Linked DNA regions of Mus musculus. The protein of the gene in region 1 purifies or fractionates together with the protein of each later gene. This does not show direct contact. Links are inferred from orthologs where the notes say so. Each region holds a gene or a part of one and is shown in the gene's direction. Other genes may lie near its edges. The genes, in order: Hnrnpdl and Hnrnph1.

Region 1 (8,128 bases):
TAGCTAGCCTTGAATGTGTATATAATCTGGTATCAATCTAAGTCACTAGAGCATTTTTATTACAAGGTCCCATGGTGGCGCATGCCTTTAATCCCAGCACTCAGGAGGCAGAAGCAGGCGGATTTCTGAGTCTGGTCTACAGAGTGAGTTCCAGGACAGCCAAGGCTACACAGAGAAACCCTGTCTCGAAAAACAAAACAAAACAACAAAAAAAAGAAGTGGCTCACAGGCATCTGAGGGAAGAGACATTACAGTTTCCATGCTGACTTATATGAGCTTATCTTATTTAACAAATCAACTTTCCAAAAATGGTACATATTTAAGGCCATATCCTGACCGCGGCTGTCATTTAGGTCCCGTGCCCTGCGGACAGCAGACAGAGAGAGAATAGAGCTGGTGACCTACAATCACCTCCCCCCATCACCACACACAAAGCAGTTAATTATGTAACAAGAACAACAAAGTGGACACAATTATCAGCATTTAGGCAGTCTTGAATTTTTCCACTGGTCTCTACTGTAATTAAAATCTTGGCAAAATGGCCAACTAGACTTTTCCAGAACCTTTGCTATGTATCTAAAACACCATAATTCTTATTTAGGAAGAAAGAGAGAAAGAAAGAAAGAAAGAAAGAAAGAAAGAAAGAAAGAAAGAAAGATAGATTGATTTGCCGGATTTGTGGCACATGGGAGTTCGAGGCCAGCCTGAATTATAGAGGTTATTTAAGAGCCTGTCTTAAATAAAATAGCTGTTATATTTGGAGACCTAAAGTTGTGTACAAACATTATGACCTACATCTAGAAAAATCAGACAATTGTAACAAGTAAACAATCAAAATAGACCTTAAAGCAGGCTGCAGTTTACTGGACGATGGGTTTTCCAACTCCCCCCCCTCCATACTACCCTCAACTATTCTATCATAAATATCAGTGCATAAATTGACTACATGGAAGAAAGTCAAGTCCTAAGCCTGTGAAACTGTGTTAACCCGACAGATACTCAAAAGCTTCAAGATACCATGGCTTTCTAAGAAAAATGAATGGAATTTTAGGTGTGTTCTTATAGTCTCAAAACCAGCGCAAGTGAGATGGTGCGAAAATCAATTGCTATTGCCCAAGATACCAGAGCCACTAGAAATCCTTTCACTTTAGTCTTTGCATTGGGAAGGCCTAAACCTCAAGGACCACTAAGTCAAGGCCACCACCTCTGCGGGCCGCAACCTTCAGCACATGGGGGACGCTCATCCACCGGGCGACACACCTACCTGCCAGGCCGTGGGAGCTCCAATCACCCCAACTCCTCCCAGCTGACCTGCCCCTCCCCAAGCCGTTGCTGAGACCATCTCCACTTCTTCCTATCCTTCTCCACCTAACCGAAAGCAAGGACAGGGGAGAAGATGGTGGCGCGAGGAAAAGCACCCCCGCAAACCGCCGCAGCTTCTCTTCCCCATTCCAGAGACATAAAGCCACACCGCCTCTCCTGAGCCTCCCAGGCAAAATCTCCAACACTTAAAATTTCCCTTTCAGATGCTTTTAGGCACAAGTAACTTCCCCGCTCCCTTCCGCCCCTCACCTTCACGAAAGCAATCGGGGTTGTGGTACCTTCGATATCTAACAGGATTACGGTGACTTCGGCGGGCACGGAAACCACGACCATTTCCCTGCCGGATGCTACCACGGGCTCGGCCTTGGTTAAGGAGGGCAACACCGCCTGCGCGTCTTGAGCTCCCGAGGGCCCAGCAACAACCGAGGCGCTGGCGACAGCGAACGACCAGGGGCTCAGAGACAGAGCTGGGACCCGCAGTTGCAGAGGAAGCCGCCTAGGGTACTACACCCGACGAGCAGGCGAGCCGCGCAGGCCCGGACCACGTGGGCAGCCGGAGGGGCGGGGCTCCGGGATTCAAAGGGGGGGGGTGGAGGAAACAAGGAGCGCGTGCCTATTGGCCGCCGGCGAGCCGCGAACCCGTCGGTCAAAATAGGCCTCGCGTGGGCGGGAACAAAGAAGCGAGCACCCAAGCCTGGAGCCTGGAGCCCGAGCGCGGGCACCAGCCCTCCGCAGCCTGCTGGAGCCTGCGCGGGAGGCCCGGGGCTCGTGCAGACGGGAGTCCCTTGAGTGGCGCGCCCGGGACGTGAGTGCCCCTTGTCTTCCCCGGCACCTGACCCCTTCCCCGCCCACCGCGTGCACCTTGGCACAGCTTCAGTCATCCGAGCAGGCCCCGCCCTCCGCCGCGGCCTCAGCCAGCCTCGGAGAACGAACGCACGGAACCCGGGCTGCAGAGAGAGATCCTGCAGCCACGGCCCCTGAGCCGACACCGCCCCGAGGCGACGGCGGAAAAGCCGTCCCCGCCAGGACGGAGGCGGTCATCGCGCACAGGCTTTCTGCTCGGCTGGTTGCAGCCGGCGCGAGGACAAAACACGCGTGCGCCGGGAGGGCGGGCGAGCGAGCGGGCGGACGGGCGCGCTGCAGCTTCAGCAAGCGGCGCGGGGTGCACGCCGCCCTTTTGCCGGAGTGGCCGCCGCTGCAGCAGCAGCAGCAGCTCTGCACTAGGGGACTGAGGGCGCAGCAAGGGACTGAGCCGAACTGGACGCGCGACGCCAACGGCTCTCAAGGCAAGAGGGACTGTGGCCCTGCCACGGCGCCGCTCGCGATTCCCGGTCCCGCACGGCTGACTCTCCCCGCGGCGCGACCTCGCTCCTCATCCGGAGCGCGGCGATGGAGGTCCCGCCCCGGCTCTCCCATGTGCCGCCGCCATTGTTCCCCTCCGCTCCCGCTACTTTAGCCTCCCGCGGCCTCTCCCATTGGCGGCCACGGGCTCCCCGGCAGCTCGCCCCGCTCCTCCCTTCGCTCGCTTCCAGCGCCTCCCGCCAGGGGGCGCGCCGGAGCCCGCGCCACGTCACCGCCCAGCAGCCCTCCCGATTGGCGGGCGGGGCGGCTATAAAGGGAGGGCGCAGGCGGCGGCCGGATCTCTTCCGCCGCCATTTTAAATCTAGCTCCATACAACGCTCCGCCGCCGCTGCCGCCGGGACCCGGACTGCGCGCCAGCACCCCCTCGCCGACGGCTCCGCCACCATGGAGGACATGAATGAGTACAGCAACATAGAGGAGTTCGCAGAGGGATCCAAGATCAACGCGAGCAAGAACCAGCAGGATGACGGGTACCGCACGCTCCGCTCCTCCCCTCCCCCAGAGCCCCGCGCGCGCCCTTCGTCCCTCCGGAGCCGCGCGCGCTGCCCCCAGTCTTTCCCCGAGTCGATTCTCCGCGTGCCCGCTGGACCCCAGTAGCCTTCCCCACTAGTGGAAAGTAAGATGGGGTGACTCGAGAGGCCCGCCGCGGGTGGGGGAAGGGAGGAGGGGTTGGGGAAGGAGAGAGGCGCCGTCGGTGTCCCGAGTGCGCAGGCGCCGCGTGGGGCCCGGGAGGGGGGAGGGGCCGGGTTCTGTGCGCCACTTGCTGCAGCTGCTGCTGCCGCTGCCGCCTCTTCATTGTGTGTGTTGGCCGCTCGCGAATTTTCCTGGGTTAGGTTTGGGAAACTTTTGGTTGGGGCACCAGTAGACGACTGGCACTAAAAGTTTCCTAGGTAGCAAAGTTGGCTTTAAGGCTGTGGGCAAGAGTCTACGTAAGTTGCGGGGGAATCGGTGTAAAAGTTGTGCTCTGCAATCCAAAGCAAGCAGGGCAGGACATCTACCAGATTCTAATGGCTTTTTTTTTTTTTCTAAGTTTTGAGTTCGCGTGGTACAAAGCAACGTGCCAGCTGGCTTGAACAAGTGGTTAAGATTTTTGTGGTCTAATGTTAGTGTTTGTAGTCAAAACAGATTGCGTCTGGAGAGTAAGTTGCCCTGTATTTAATCACTAAGTTACTGTTAAGCTTATTTTTCTTAAATAACTTTATTTCTAGTAAAATGTTTATTGGAGGCTTGAGCTGGGATACAAGCAAGAAAGATCTGACTGAATATTTGTCTCGATTTGGGGAAGTGGTAGACTGCACAATTAAAACAGACCCAGTCACGGGAAGATCAAGAGGATTTGGATTTGTGCTTTTCAAAGATGCTGCTAGTGTGGATAAGGTAGGGCTGTGTTTTGCATTGAGTCTACTGCGTTGCTTGCAAGTTGCTCTAGGCTTTTAAGTCCAAACTGCCTTGTCTTCCAGGTTTTGGAACTGAAAGAACACAAACTGGATGGCAAATTGATAGACCCCAAAAGGGCCAAAGCTTTAAAGGGGAAAGAACCCCCTAAAAAGGTCTTTGTGGGTGGATTGAGCCCAGATACTTCAGAAGAACAAATTAAAGAATATTTTGGAGCCTTTGGAGAGGTGGGCTGTGTTTGTGTATGTATGTGTGTCTGTGCTCGTGTTTGGTCAAGTCTGGGGGGGTTCATTAATATTTCACCGGATGGGACTGAATTCTCTTGCTTCGTCTTCACTGCTGCTTTCTATGTTGTAGTGGAAACCAGTATCTAATCTTACTTAGCCAAAGCCCCAAAGGTGTAAAGTGTTTCACCAATTGGTGGCCTCTGGGGTGTAAGGTACTATAAAAAGATAAAACACAACTTTTTAGAACATGGTGGTCAGTAGATGTGTCTGGTGTTTGTGAAGAGCCTGTGGCATTATATAATCTTTATTAACTGGTGGGTTTGTTTGTTTTGTCTGTGCACCTGATTTCAGATAGAAAATATTGAGCTTCCCATGGATACAAAAACAAATGAAAGAAGAGGATTCTGTTTTATCACATACACAGACGAAGAGCCAGTAAAGAAACTGTTAGAAAGCAGATACCATCAAATAGGTTCTGGGAAGGTAAATCCCTTAACAACTTAGAGGATTGTGTGTGTGAAGTCAGTGTGAAGAGAAACTTGTTCTATGTTCAGAACTTGGAACATCTGCAAATTTTCTGTTTATTTACAGTGCGAAATCAAAGTTGCGCAACCCAAAGAGGTGTACAGGCAGCAGCAGCAACAACAGAAAGGAGGCAGAGGGGCTGCAGCCGGCGGAAGAGGAGGTGCTAGGGGGCGTGGAAGAGGTGAGACCTCCTTGGGCGAGTGAGCGGTACACTGAAGCAGTGAGCTGCTAGGGACCTGACCTGTAGGGAAACACAGCTAGAGTGAAACTAAAGAGCTGACTTGGGGGGGGGGGGTTGAAGCCACAGTGTAGGGGACAGGAATGGATCAGCTTGTGGTAGGATTGGGACAGTCCCAAGTTGTTTCCTAACCTTCGTTGTGCATTGTTTCAGGTCAGGGCCAAAACTGGAACCAAGGATTTAATAACTATTATGATCAAGGATATGGAAATTATAATAGTGCCTATGGTGGTGATCAGAACTATAGTGGCTATGGCGGCTATGATTATACTGGGTATAACTATGGGAACTATGGATATGGACAGGGATATGCAGACTACAGCGGTAAGAACACTTAACTCAATTGTGAAGTACTTTCCCATTCTGAACTTGTGTGTATGGGCTTACTGTTGAGATGTTTGGAGTAGTCATGTTGTATAGTCATAGGAAAGTAAGACGGTGGTTATTTTAAAATATAATTAACAGCTATTGGCTATTACTGACTGTTAAGATGGCTTGATGTTTTGATGTTCAGCATGCATAGTTTCTTATAGGGTAGATTTTTTTTTCTGTTTAGAAAAACGGTTTTCTTAGGAAACTTTGTTAGTGAAACTCATATCCTTTCCACAGGTCAGCAGAGCACTTACGGCAAGGCGTCCCGAGGGGGCGGCAATCACCAGAACAATTACCAGCCCTACTAAAGGAGGACGCTGGGAGAGCAGGTGTGTGAGATGCAGGAAAGCATTGCACTGGCTAATTTAACTTAAAGATCAATAGACAAATGAAAAACACGAGTAAATGATATGTTGTGTAGTCCTTGCTAAAGTGTTACTGTTTAATTGCTTTATGAGCCTGTTTTGCCTAAAGTGTCTATAGATCTTTAACTTTAAAGTTTTACCTCACCTTTTTTAGAACTACAGAAAAACTTAAGAGTTTTTCTGTTTGCTTTGTGTACCAGGAGGTGTAGAGGAGTAATTAAACTTTTTTAGAAGTGTTAACAGGTAAAGTACTGAAATGGGTACAACTTAAGGAAAAGAAGAATGTTGTCTTCTAACTCTGACATTATACCTTGTTTGTACCCGCCAGCGGGAACTTCATTGCAGGCCGTGTGTCACCCTGACCACGTCTATCTCTGGGGGTCGCACGTTGCGGGCAGAGCGCAAGGCATACACCAGAAAACGCTGTCCTGTGGTATGGTCTCTTCCAACTTCATGTACCAGCGTAAAGATTAAAGTGGAAAACTTCAGACTTTGGCTTCTTTTTTAATCTTTTTGGAGATTAAGTGTCTAAACTTAACTTAAATGGTTTTTTACAGGAGTTAAAGTGCATAAATGCCTTTTTACAGCTTAATCATTTTGGTCTTCTGTTTAGTGTTGTATTTCAATTGTGGAGCCTCATTTTAAGTGTTCATTCTTTAAGATTTAATGCTTGCTTTTTCTTTTTATAGCTAATAGTGAAATCTACAAACCAAAACAAGAACTTTTAAATCTGGGATATAAGTTAAAGATCATATGCACAAAGTAATTGGCTACCGTGTTACCATTATAAACCTACCTGGAATTTGTGTTGGTAGCATCCAGTTGGCTTACTAGGGATGCTTCTGTTCTGGTTGGCCCTCACTTGCTAGATGCAGATCAGGGAAGATTGCATTCCCGTGTTCTAAATTCAGTCCATCCTGTGTCATTTGGAACTCGAGTGAGTTTCAGTGCCCAAACTGTACTTTGCTGATGAACATGCGTGTGATCTTTAATTGAAGTGAGGACTTAAGCAGTCCATGAAAGTGGACCTTTGCACACTTGTGGGGCTGCACACATCTAATGGGTGTTTCGTTTTTGTTTTAGGAGGTGTAAAGAAACCATCTTACAGGACGACATTGAAGATTGCTTGATCTTCTGTTGACCTAAGATGATTATTTTGTAAAAGACTTTGTAGTGTACATGACACAATTGTGTCCAACTGTATATAGCTGCCAATTAGTTCCTCTGTTTTACTTTGTCCTTTGCTACCTGTGTTATGATGACTCAATGTGGATTTGTGTTCATACAAATTTTTATTTGTGTGGTTTCATGTTAAACCTCAAATAAATGCTTCCTTATGTGATTGTTTTCCTGCGTCAGGTACTGCATAGTTCTGTGGAAATGTAATTTTATAAAGAAGCAATAATCAAGACAGACGCAGCTTATTTTGTAGGGGGTATTGGTCCACAGGAAGAAACTGGTTGTAGTATCCCCTGGTTTCTGTGGGTGTTACTGTGCTTACAGTCTAATGCTTAATTTCTCTGTTGATAACTTCTACACCTTTTGAATAATGTTTCCTCCCTGGGTATCTGGAGACTGACACTAGTCTGTTGTGATTGGTGACACTTCCTATCACATGGTGTGCTTTCAGATTATGGTTCTAAGGAAAGCACCTTGGTGTGCTAGGGCTGTACCTCACTGGCAAGTGTCCTTTGCCTGAGCACAAGTGATGCTCTTGTTTCTATCTCATCACCTTAGAAACGGACCTGTTGGCTACCACAAAGCTTTTTAATTGGCTACCTTTGCTCTGTGCTTATCTAACAAACCATGTGTAATTCACAGATGACTTTAAAGAGAGTCCATGGTTTGTCTGTTAGAGGTAAATGCAGGGGGGAAACTGGTGGCCAGGGTTTCATCCATTCTATCTGCAATTATCCACTAAGGTCAGTGCAGTGGGCTGAGGTTTTAGGAAAATTAGCAGTAGTGAATCCATCCCACCATAGTACACAAGCTAAATAGATTTAAGCAGTTTGCTATGCAGGCAGAGGAAGGGAGTTGTGGAAAGTCACATGGTGTATCTTTTGGTGCATTAAAAACTTAAAAGATTTAAGTAATAAAGGCTTTGAGCTTTTCCATAAATGTTTGGCTTAGAGGTCTCTCCACGGTTCCACAAAAGCTTCTGGGTTGGGGTACATGTTTAGAGTACTTGGTCTTAGACCAGTGTAAGCTTTTTATACTGATATCTTTTTTAAATGCCTACAACTTTGTTCCAATGATATTTGTACTTGCTAGGCTGTCAAGTTACCATGCCTTGGCCTCATTTTCTTCTGGCCAGGTACCAT
Region 2 (8,085 bases), on another chromosome or scaffold:
GATTAAAGTTATGGACCACCACAGCAGCCTCCCACTAGGCCAGCTTCCAATTCACTCTGTAGTTGATGATGGTGATGGTTTTGAACTCCTGATCCTCCTCCTTCCAATTCCTGAGCTCAGGGCTCCCTCGCACCTGGTTAAGACTACACCAGTTCTTCCAGGTGTGGTGGTGCATGCCTCTAACCCCAACCCCAGGGAGCCAGAGGCAGGCTGCTCTACAAAGTTCCAAGACAGTCAGAGCTGCACAGAGAAATCCTGTCTTGATTTTTTTTTTTTTTTTTTTTTTTTTTTTTTTTTGAGACAGGGCTTCTCTGTGTAGTCCTGGCTGTCCTGGAACTCACTCTGTAGACCAGGTTGGCTTCGAACTCAGAAATTCACCTACCTCTGCCTCCCAATTGCTGGGCATGTGCCACCACGCCTGGCTATTTATTTATTTATTAAATAGATATTTTTCAGTCTTTTTTTATTTAAGATTTATTTTATGAATATGAGTATACTATTGTCTTCAGACACACCAGAAGAGGGCATCGGACTCCATTATAGATGGTTGGAGCCACCATGTAACCACTGGGATTTGAACTCAGGACCTCTGGAAGAGCAGTCAGTACTTTTAACCACTGAGCCATCTCTCCAGCCCCACATAAATAGAGTATTTATAGATTGGATTGTATATCACATTTACAGATAAGAAATCAGTCTAGGCTCAAATAACAAGAAAGCTACTGCTGCTTTGAGAAATGCAGGCTCCACATGCGTTTTACACCCTGGAGCAGAAGACAGAATACAGGTTTTCCCTTAGACACTTGTAGTATGTGCAGCAACATTTGACCCCTCATCTTTATGGAACAGAACCCACATATGCCCCTCCCCCACTATTAGGCCTAACACACCAGTTATATAAAGTAATAACTATCAACAAGGACAGGAAGTGCAAGCGACATAGACCACCTCGTTTCTTCCAGAATACAGCAACAGGAACTGGGGAGATGGCTTAGCCAGGAGAGGCACTTGTTTCTCAAGCCCCCAAATCTGAGCTTAATCCTTCACTCTGAAGACTCTAAGCCTTGGTTATTAAATTTAATATCTGACGTATCTTCTGCTGCTTCATCGGCTTTCCTGCTAACGGTCTCTTTATAGCATTATGTAAGCAGCACCCAAAAGCCGGCCGTGATGGCTCAAGCTTGTAATCCCAGCATCCCGGAAACTGAAGGAGGACGCCGCCTCTGGACACCCGCCTAGCCTGGGCTATAACTTGGGATACAGAGACTCTGGCTCAAACAAAGAAGAAAGCACACGAAGACCAAAAGAGCAGTTAAGAAAAAGCACAAAGAGAAAAGCAGATCTTGGTGAGTTCAGGGCCATCCTGGTCTACATAGCAAGTTCTAGGCCAGACAGGGATATATAGTGAGATTCTGTCTAAAAAGAAAAAAAAGAAAGAGAGAGAGAGAGAGGGAGAGAGAGAGGGAGAGAGAGAGAGAGAGAGAGAGAGAGAGAGAGAGAGAGAGAAAGAAAGAAAGAAAGAAGGAAAGAAAGAAAGAAAAAAAGGGAAGAGGCACTAATTAGTCCAGACTGGCCTCAAAACTCCTGGGACCTGAATGCTCTGCTGTGATTAAAAATGTGTGCAACCCATGCCTGGCCCAGAAGCTGAACTTTTTCTGTGAGGAAGCTTTGTGTTGGACAATTTACATCAAAGGGAATGGCTATGATGTAGCATTTGCTCCCGTGATCAGATACAGATAGTTACATAGTCCCAGTATTAAGTTAGTAAGGATTAAAAGAAAGGGAAAGCCCATGTAGTGAAAGTCAGGCGTTTGCAGCCCTTGTACACAAAAGGATCTTCAAATCCTTCCATTGTTAGAAATTACACAAATACTCAGAGCCTTCTGCCAAACAATTGTCCACCAGAAAATCCTCATTGCGTGTGGTGGCACACACACTTTAATCCTGTCATTCTGGAGGCGGATGATCAAACACTTGAGACCATGCATGACTGCAAGGGGAGTTTGAGGCCGGCCTGGGATGTGTGCAATCAGGACTCAAAACAATAAGGAAAGGACACAATAAGGAAAGATAAAAGTTTTTATCTATGATTATACACTGCATTTTTCTCTTACGATGGAAAAATAACCTCCCATACAACTAGAATAGAATTTAGAGAAACATCGTAGGAATGTGGTTGTGTTGTCAGAAGGGAAACATTTCCCCCCCTTCAGGTGAGAGACCTGGATTGCTAAGTTGCAGTGACTCTCCCATCTCAGCATCTCAAGTAGATGGGACTACAGGCACATTACTGTGCAAAGTGAAAAAAGATGATTCAAACAAAAAACGGTGTGTGTGTGTGAAAATATAGTTGAGTGGTAGGACTGGTTTGCTCAAAGCCTTTCTAGTATGCATTGCTCTTCCCATACATCTAACCAACGATCGCAGGTCATCTAATAAGTATAGGGCTCTCAAATGGTGTGAATTAGCTAAAGAAGAGTAATCTTAGTTTCTTGGTAATCAATCTCATGTCCCAAGACCATGTAGGGGGAAATATACATGTTAAGCAAGCTCTCTACCACTACTATTTCTCTTGTCTTCTTTTTGAGACAGGCTTTCAGTAAATTTCCCAGGCTGCCTTGAACGCACTCTGTTGCTCAGGCAAGTCTTGAAGTTGCAGTTCTCCTCGGCTGGGCTTGTGTTCTTGCCTTTCACCCACCTCCTGGCCTGGAGACTTGGGAGTTCTCACTTTTCGATGATCTAAACTAGTGTTTTCTGTCTCCTCTAGATAGATCCTTTGCAGGTGAGGTCATGTGCAGTTATTCTCCCAGCCTGTCTCATCCGAGTTTCCCTTACACCTGAAGGTTCACGTTACACAGCTCCTGTTGCTCTCTTGAAGTCTTGTGATGCCCTTCTACTTAACACCCTTGCGCAGACTTAAAAGGTCTGAGTTCTGCACGCAGTCTCTGCACCTTTCCTTTGATGACACCCCCCCCTTTTAAAAAACAAACTGTTCAAACTGGATTTAGCCTCCTCAATGTTGCACTTGAAAGAAAAGCGTATTTTTGCCTGTAACCTCTTGTGATGGCTTTCAGAGGCTTACCAATTGTGGTACCTACCGTGGCACCGCCCAAACAATAACTCTTATTGTTAATTTCTAGGGTAGGTCAGTCAGATTCGGAGAAACTCGGGACATCATCCGTATTCTGCTATGTTGCAGGAATTCTCTTAAACGTCACCCATTTACCTCTGTAAGGGCACACGGGATGACCCGGGCGTGTCTCCACCTTGGGAGAGGCCCGTTGGTCGGTCGGGCGCAGCGCTCTGGGGCTGCGTCCTTCGCGCCCCTGGCAGTCTCAGCCTTCCCTCGCGAGGCGCCGCACACCGAGCGCCTCTCGTGCAAGGGCGAGGGGTTCGTAGAGTGCGAGTCCGTTAGGCAAAGTGGGGTACAGGACTAGCTCGGGCACTGGCAGCCCATGTGGGTCGGGACTGACCCCCTAAAGCGGGCAGGTAAGGGGACTGGTCCCAGGCGCCCCACGGAGATCGGGGATTTGGGCGCAGGGGGCGGGGCGGTACCCAGAGGAGGTTTGGCACAACCCGGCCCTCCAGCTCCTACGCGTTCTGAGGAGAAAGGGCATGGCTTCCTTTTCTTCGTGGTGTCTTTCAAAACCGACAGGAGCGCGGATGAAAAGCTGCGGATTAAGGGTAGAACTACCGCCCCTGCAAACCTGAACGAACTCTGGATTACTACCCAGTCCCTGCGGGGAGCTGATTAGCGCCATTCCCCTCCCCCACTCCGGCGGGTAGGTCTAGAGAACGGTTTGAAGGTAGCCGCATGCGCATTAAGTAAAACAAGAAACCGCTGAGACGCCAAGCGCAATAATTGCAAAAAGGCGCAGGCGCAGAAAGAAAAAAAAAAAACAACCAAAAACACCTCGGTCAGTTTATGAAGAGGGCTGAGCCCAAACGCATGCGTGTAATAATAGGACGGCGGGAGAGAGCTCGGGGTTTCTTAATACGCATGCGTCCAATCTCTCTGTGACGCAAGTGGGGCGGGGCCGGCAACAGGGTGCGCGTGCGCAGAGCTTGCTGGAAGGGCTTTATTTAGCCTGCGCAGGCGCCCGCTTATCATTTCTCCTCAGCCACGCCGAGGCTTTTTGTGGAGGTGAGTGACTTTCCGTCTTCGACTGCTGCCCGAGCTCTCCACGGACACCTCTTTGGGTGACGATTGCTTGTCGCTGAGCTTAGGTTCTAACCTGAGGGGCCGTGGCAGGCGCAGGCTGCCCCTGGGAGCCGCGAGTGTCTCGCCGGCGTGGCAGCGCCGCCTAGGCCTGCAGGCCGCGCCGCTTTCTATTGTGTGAGATGTCTGAGGAGGCGGAGCGGAAGCGGCGGCCGCCATTTCCTCGTCTCAACCGTGGCTGTGGGCCAGGGTCTTATTAGCTTGGCGCCTCGGCCCTGGGCGCACTGGGCGGCTTTGGGCATCGGGTCGCTAGCCGAGGCCGGGTTGCATGCTTGAGTCTCCGGGGCCCAGGCATCCTGACGGGCGGGACTCGCATGGCGGCGCCCGGTGCCCGCTGTGCGCCGTGAAGTGGGAGGGCCATTTAAATGCCTGTTTTCTCAGACGCGTTCCTGACCCCCACCCCCACCCCGCAGCCCCGCAATCTGTGTGGACGCCAGGACCACCGAAGGGACGATGATGCTGGGAGCAGAAGGCGGAGAGGGCTTCGTGGTGAAGGTCCGGGGCTTGCCCTGGTCCTGCTCCGCGGATGAAGTGCAGCGCTTTTTTTCTGGTGAGTTGAGGCGGGAGTTGTCAGTGGGGCCCGCGGCTGGGCCGGGCCGGGCCGGGTTGGGGCGGGGCGGGTCTCCCGGGCGCCCCCTAGCGAGTCGCGGCCACCAGCGGTTTCCCCAGGCGGCTCGCGCTCTGTTGGCCGCTGTTACGCAATGGTAATTGCGAAATCCGCACCCCCCCCAACCCCCTTGGGGATGCTGGTGGCCCTGCTGAATTTGTTTTCTTTTAAAACTTTTTCTGTCTCTATGCATCAATCTGTGCATTCTGGAGTAGTCTAAGAAAAATTTAAGTAGGGAAAGATGTGATTTCTTCTCAAGTCGTGTAAGGTTTTGTAAAAAGGTACTTGTAGTGTTGACCTTACCATCTGAATTTAGCTGTGGTAACAGAAAACGATCTGTAAATCGAGCCCCAAGTATACTGCAAGCAATTGCAGGGGGCCGTTGCCGTCCGGGTTTGAGTTGAACTGCAGCTTGGAGCCTTTAGTTGTTAACATTGGTCCCTTTTCGGATGAATATTGAGCTGGAGTTTGGATTTGAATGAAATTGTTATGTGGTTGCTGATAGAGGGAAGCTGACATGGTACCCAAACAAGAAAATGCTGTGAAGTCACCAGATCCAGATGAGATTATTCTGAGATAGTGTACCAAGAGATGGTTAATGGAAACTTAGAGGCAAGGTGGTAGCTTCATTTGAACTTTTTTTTTTTTTTTTTTCGAGACAGGGTTTCTCTGTGTAGCTCTGGCTGTCCTGGAACTCTGTAGACCAGGCTGGCCTCGAAATCAGAAATCCGCCTGCCTCTGCCTCCCCAGTGCTGGGATTAAACGCGTGCGTCACCACTGCCCTGCTCCATTTGAACTATTTTTGAGCATTGAGTTACCTTGTTGGACTAGGAATATATCCTGTATATGAGATAATTTGATCGTGTTCTGCTTGGTCAGTCTTTTTAGGCATGTTTTTTTTTTTTTGGTGTGTGTGATGACAGGAATATGCATTTTATCTGTAGTGGTTTTAAATCCTGTATTAAGCGTTGTTTTCTTTTCAGACTGCAAAATTCAAAATGGGGCTCAAGGTATTCGTTTCATCTACACCAGAGAAGGCAGACCAAGTGGCGAGGCTTTTGTTGAACTTGAATCAGAAGATGAAGTCAAATTGGCCTTGAAAAAAGACAGAGAAACTATGGGACACAGATATGTTGAAGGTTTGATTTACATTGCCCTAGTAACAGTAAACGTTTAAACACATAGAGGTCTTACCCCTTCTGAATTTTAGGTATTTGACCGCATGGAAATGGTCATCTAAGGGAGTTTATGGCAGCTCTTCCTAGTTATCTAAAAGCCCAGGAAATCTGAACTTTGTTCTCCAACTTAATTGACTAATTCTAAGCACCTCTTTCAGTATTCAAGTCAAACAACGTTGAAATGGATTGGGTGTTGAAGCATACTGGTCCAAATAGTCCTGACACAGCCAATGATGGCTTTGTACGGCTTAGAGGACTCCCTTTTGGATGTAGCAAGGAAGAAATTGTTCAGTTCTTCTCAGGTATGTAGTCCTGTTTGTTGCTGAGCAGTGAGGTATGGCAGCTTCTGGCGACATGAATTAGTATTAGTAGACCTTTAAAAAGTTGAATAGTCTAGGTACTTAAAGTAGGCTGTTGAATATATGTTGTTGAATTCACATTTTCTTCCTGGAGACCTTCAAATAACTTAAGCCCATCTTAAAGGTGGAAATTAGAAGTATTTCCAAAGTGTTAACTTTGCCTATATTTAGTATTGTAGTTCAGAGTAGACCTTTGAGGATTCTACTCAGCCATCTTAACTTCCTCATATTGCTGTTTAGCAAAGTACTTCAAGTTAAAGGTAAGCTCTTTTAACATTAGATTAGTGTGAGTCTAGATTGTTACAGTTTATGGTGTTATAACTTATTTTCCGTCATGGGACCAGAAATATTTTAGCTAGTGTAATTCTCTGTATGAAAATTGTTATGAAAGGAACTTGGCTTAGGTAGCCTATTAGAAGTCAAAAAAGTAAATTGTAGCAAGTGTAGGTTGAATGCTTGTAGTCTCAATATGAAAGCAGTATAGAAGTTTTTGAAGTTGTTCTGGGCCTAAAGTATTTGAATGTTTTTATGTTGAAGAGCTGATAGGATTTGCATGCTTAGCAGAATGTTAAATCTTGTATATTTTAAGTACTATTAATACTCTTGATGACATAGACAGAATTAATCAAATATCTTAATAGTTTTTAGCATAGTATGTATTAGAACTTTGACTAGAACTTTATATATGTATCAATTTGTAATATTTTATAGTTTGAAATCAAGTCTGTTTTGTTTTATCTAAATTGGTGAGAATTGAATGCTATCTGTCAACGTTAAATATGAACATAATTTCATATCTTCTAGGAAAGTGCTTTAAGGCCTTTTTGTAAGCTTGGGAATGTATCCACGGGAAGGATTTTTCATAGACGGAATTTCCAGAAGTGAATCATACTACTGTTAGAACATAAGAGTGCATGATTGCTTTGTAGATAGTTATTGTTGAAAGTTTAGTTTGTATGTTTGTCAATTATGATTTTTAAAATGTTTTCAATTTTTACATAAACTGTTTAAATGTGTAATTTTAAAATTGAAGTTCCAATAACTTAAAAAGAATTGAAATATATGAGGTTAAAAGGTTTCTTATTTTACTTAAATTGTTATTTTAATGCTTAAAAAATTTAAAGTTCTTGTATAATTCTATTAAGATGCATAGATTAAAATGTTTTTAATTGTTGAATTCTTAATGCACCCTCTGGAGTATAACACTTTTTTTTCTTTACTGTATATACTATGCCTTGGGTGTGTTAAGAATTGAGTTATACTCTTTATAGTGGAACTTCTTATTATTGCAATGCATATTTTAAGAGTACTTGTTGAAAGCATACCATTCACCTAAAGTTAAAATTCTGGTTTATTTAAAGCTATAAGAAGAATCATTTCTGGGCTTGTGATGTTAATATTGCCCCCCTACTGGGGTTATTTGTCCTTGGGTTGAAGGGTTGGAAATCGTGCCAAATGGGATAACATTGCCGGTGGACTTCCAGGGGAGGAGTACGGGGGAGGCCTTCGTGCAGTTTGCTTCACAGGAAATAGCTGAAAAGGCTCTAAAGAAACACAAGGAAAGAATAGGGCACAGGTGGGGATGGATGGTTGGTTGGATATGTCACTTTTCTTATGGTAAACAATTAAATCCATATTCTCTCTGCTTAGAAAGAGGAAATTACCCATTTCCTATTCCCAGTTAATTGATAATCTGCTATAACTTCTAAATTTTCCCAGTTA

What was found.
Region 2: the proteins of Hnrnpdl (region 1) and Hnrnph1 fractionate together in Homo sapiens (co-fractionation; 3 studies listed by BioGRID and IntAct, with this or other methods). This does not show direct contact. The link is inferred for Mus musculus from reciprocal best matches to the Homo sapiens genes HNRNPDL and HNRNPH1.

What each region holds. Positions count from the first base shown.
Region 1 is NC_000071.6:100,033,747-100,041,874, reverse strand, and holds the start of Hnrnpdl (heterogeneous nuclear ribonucleoprotein D-like), read left to right. Parts: upstream 1-2,652; 5' UTR 2,653-2,712; coding exon 2,713-3,155; intron 3,156-3,893; coding exon 3,894-4,062; intron 4,063-4,145; coding exon 4,146-4,307; intron 4,308-4,658; coding exon 4,659-4,790; intron 4,791-4,898; coding exon 4,899-5,013; intron 5,014-5,223; coding exon 5,224-5,394; intron 5,395-5,679; coding exon 5,680-5,750; 3' UTR 5,751-5,771; exon of another isoform or gene 5,772-6,890; 3' UTR 6,891-8,128. Other genes in the region: Enoph1 (enolase-phosphatase E1), read right to left, coding at 1,602-1,656. UniProt on the Homo sapiens protein: Acts as a transcriptional regulator. Promotes transcription repression. Promotes transcription activation in differentiated myotubes. Binds to double- and single-stranded DNA sequences. Binds to the transcription suppressor CATR sequence of the COX5B promoter.
Region 2 is NC_000077.6:50,373,659-50,381,743, forward strand, and holds the start of Hnrnph1 (heterogeneous nuclear ribonucleoprotein H), read left to right. Parts: upstream 1-4,019; 5' UTR 4,020-4,144; exon of another isoform or gene 4,145-4,200; intron 4,201-4,577; exon of another isoform or gene 4,578-4,632; 5' UTR 4,633-4,672; coding exon 4,673-4,769; intron 4,770-5,809; coding exon 5,810-5,965; intron 5,966-6,162; coding exon 6,163-6,306; intron 6,307-7,800; coding exon 7,801-7,939; intron 7,940-8,085. UniProt on the Homo sapiens protein: This protein is a component of the heterogeneous nuclear ribonucleoprotein (hnRNP) complexes which provide the substrate for the processing events that pre-mRNAs undergo before becoming functional, translatable mRNAs in the cytoplasm.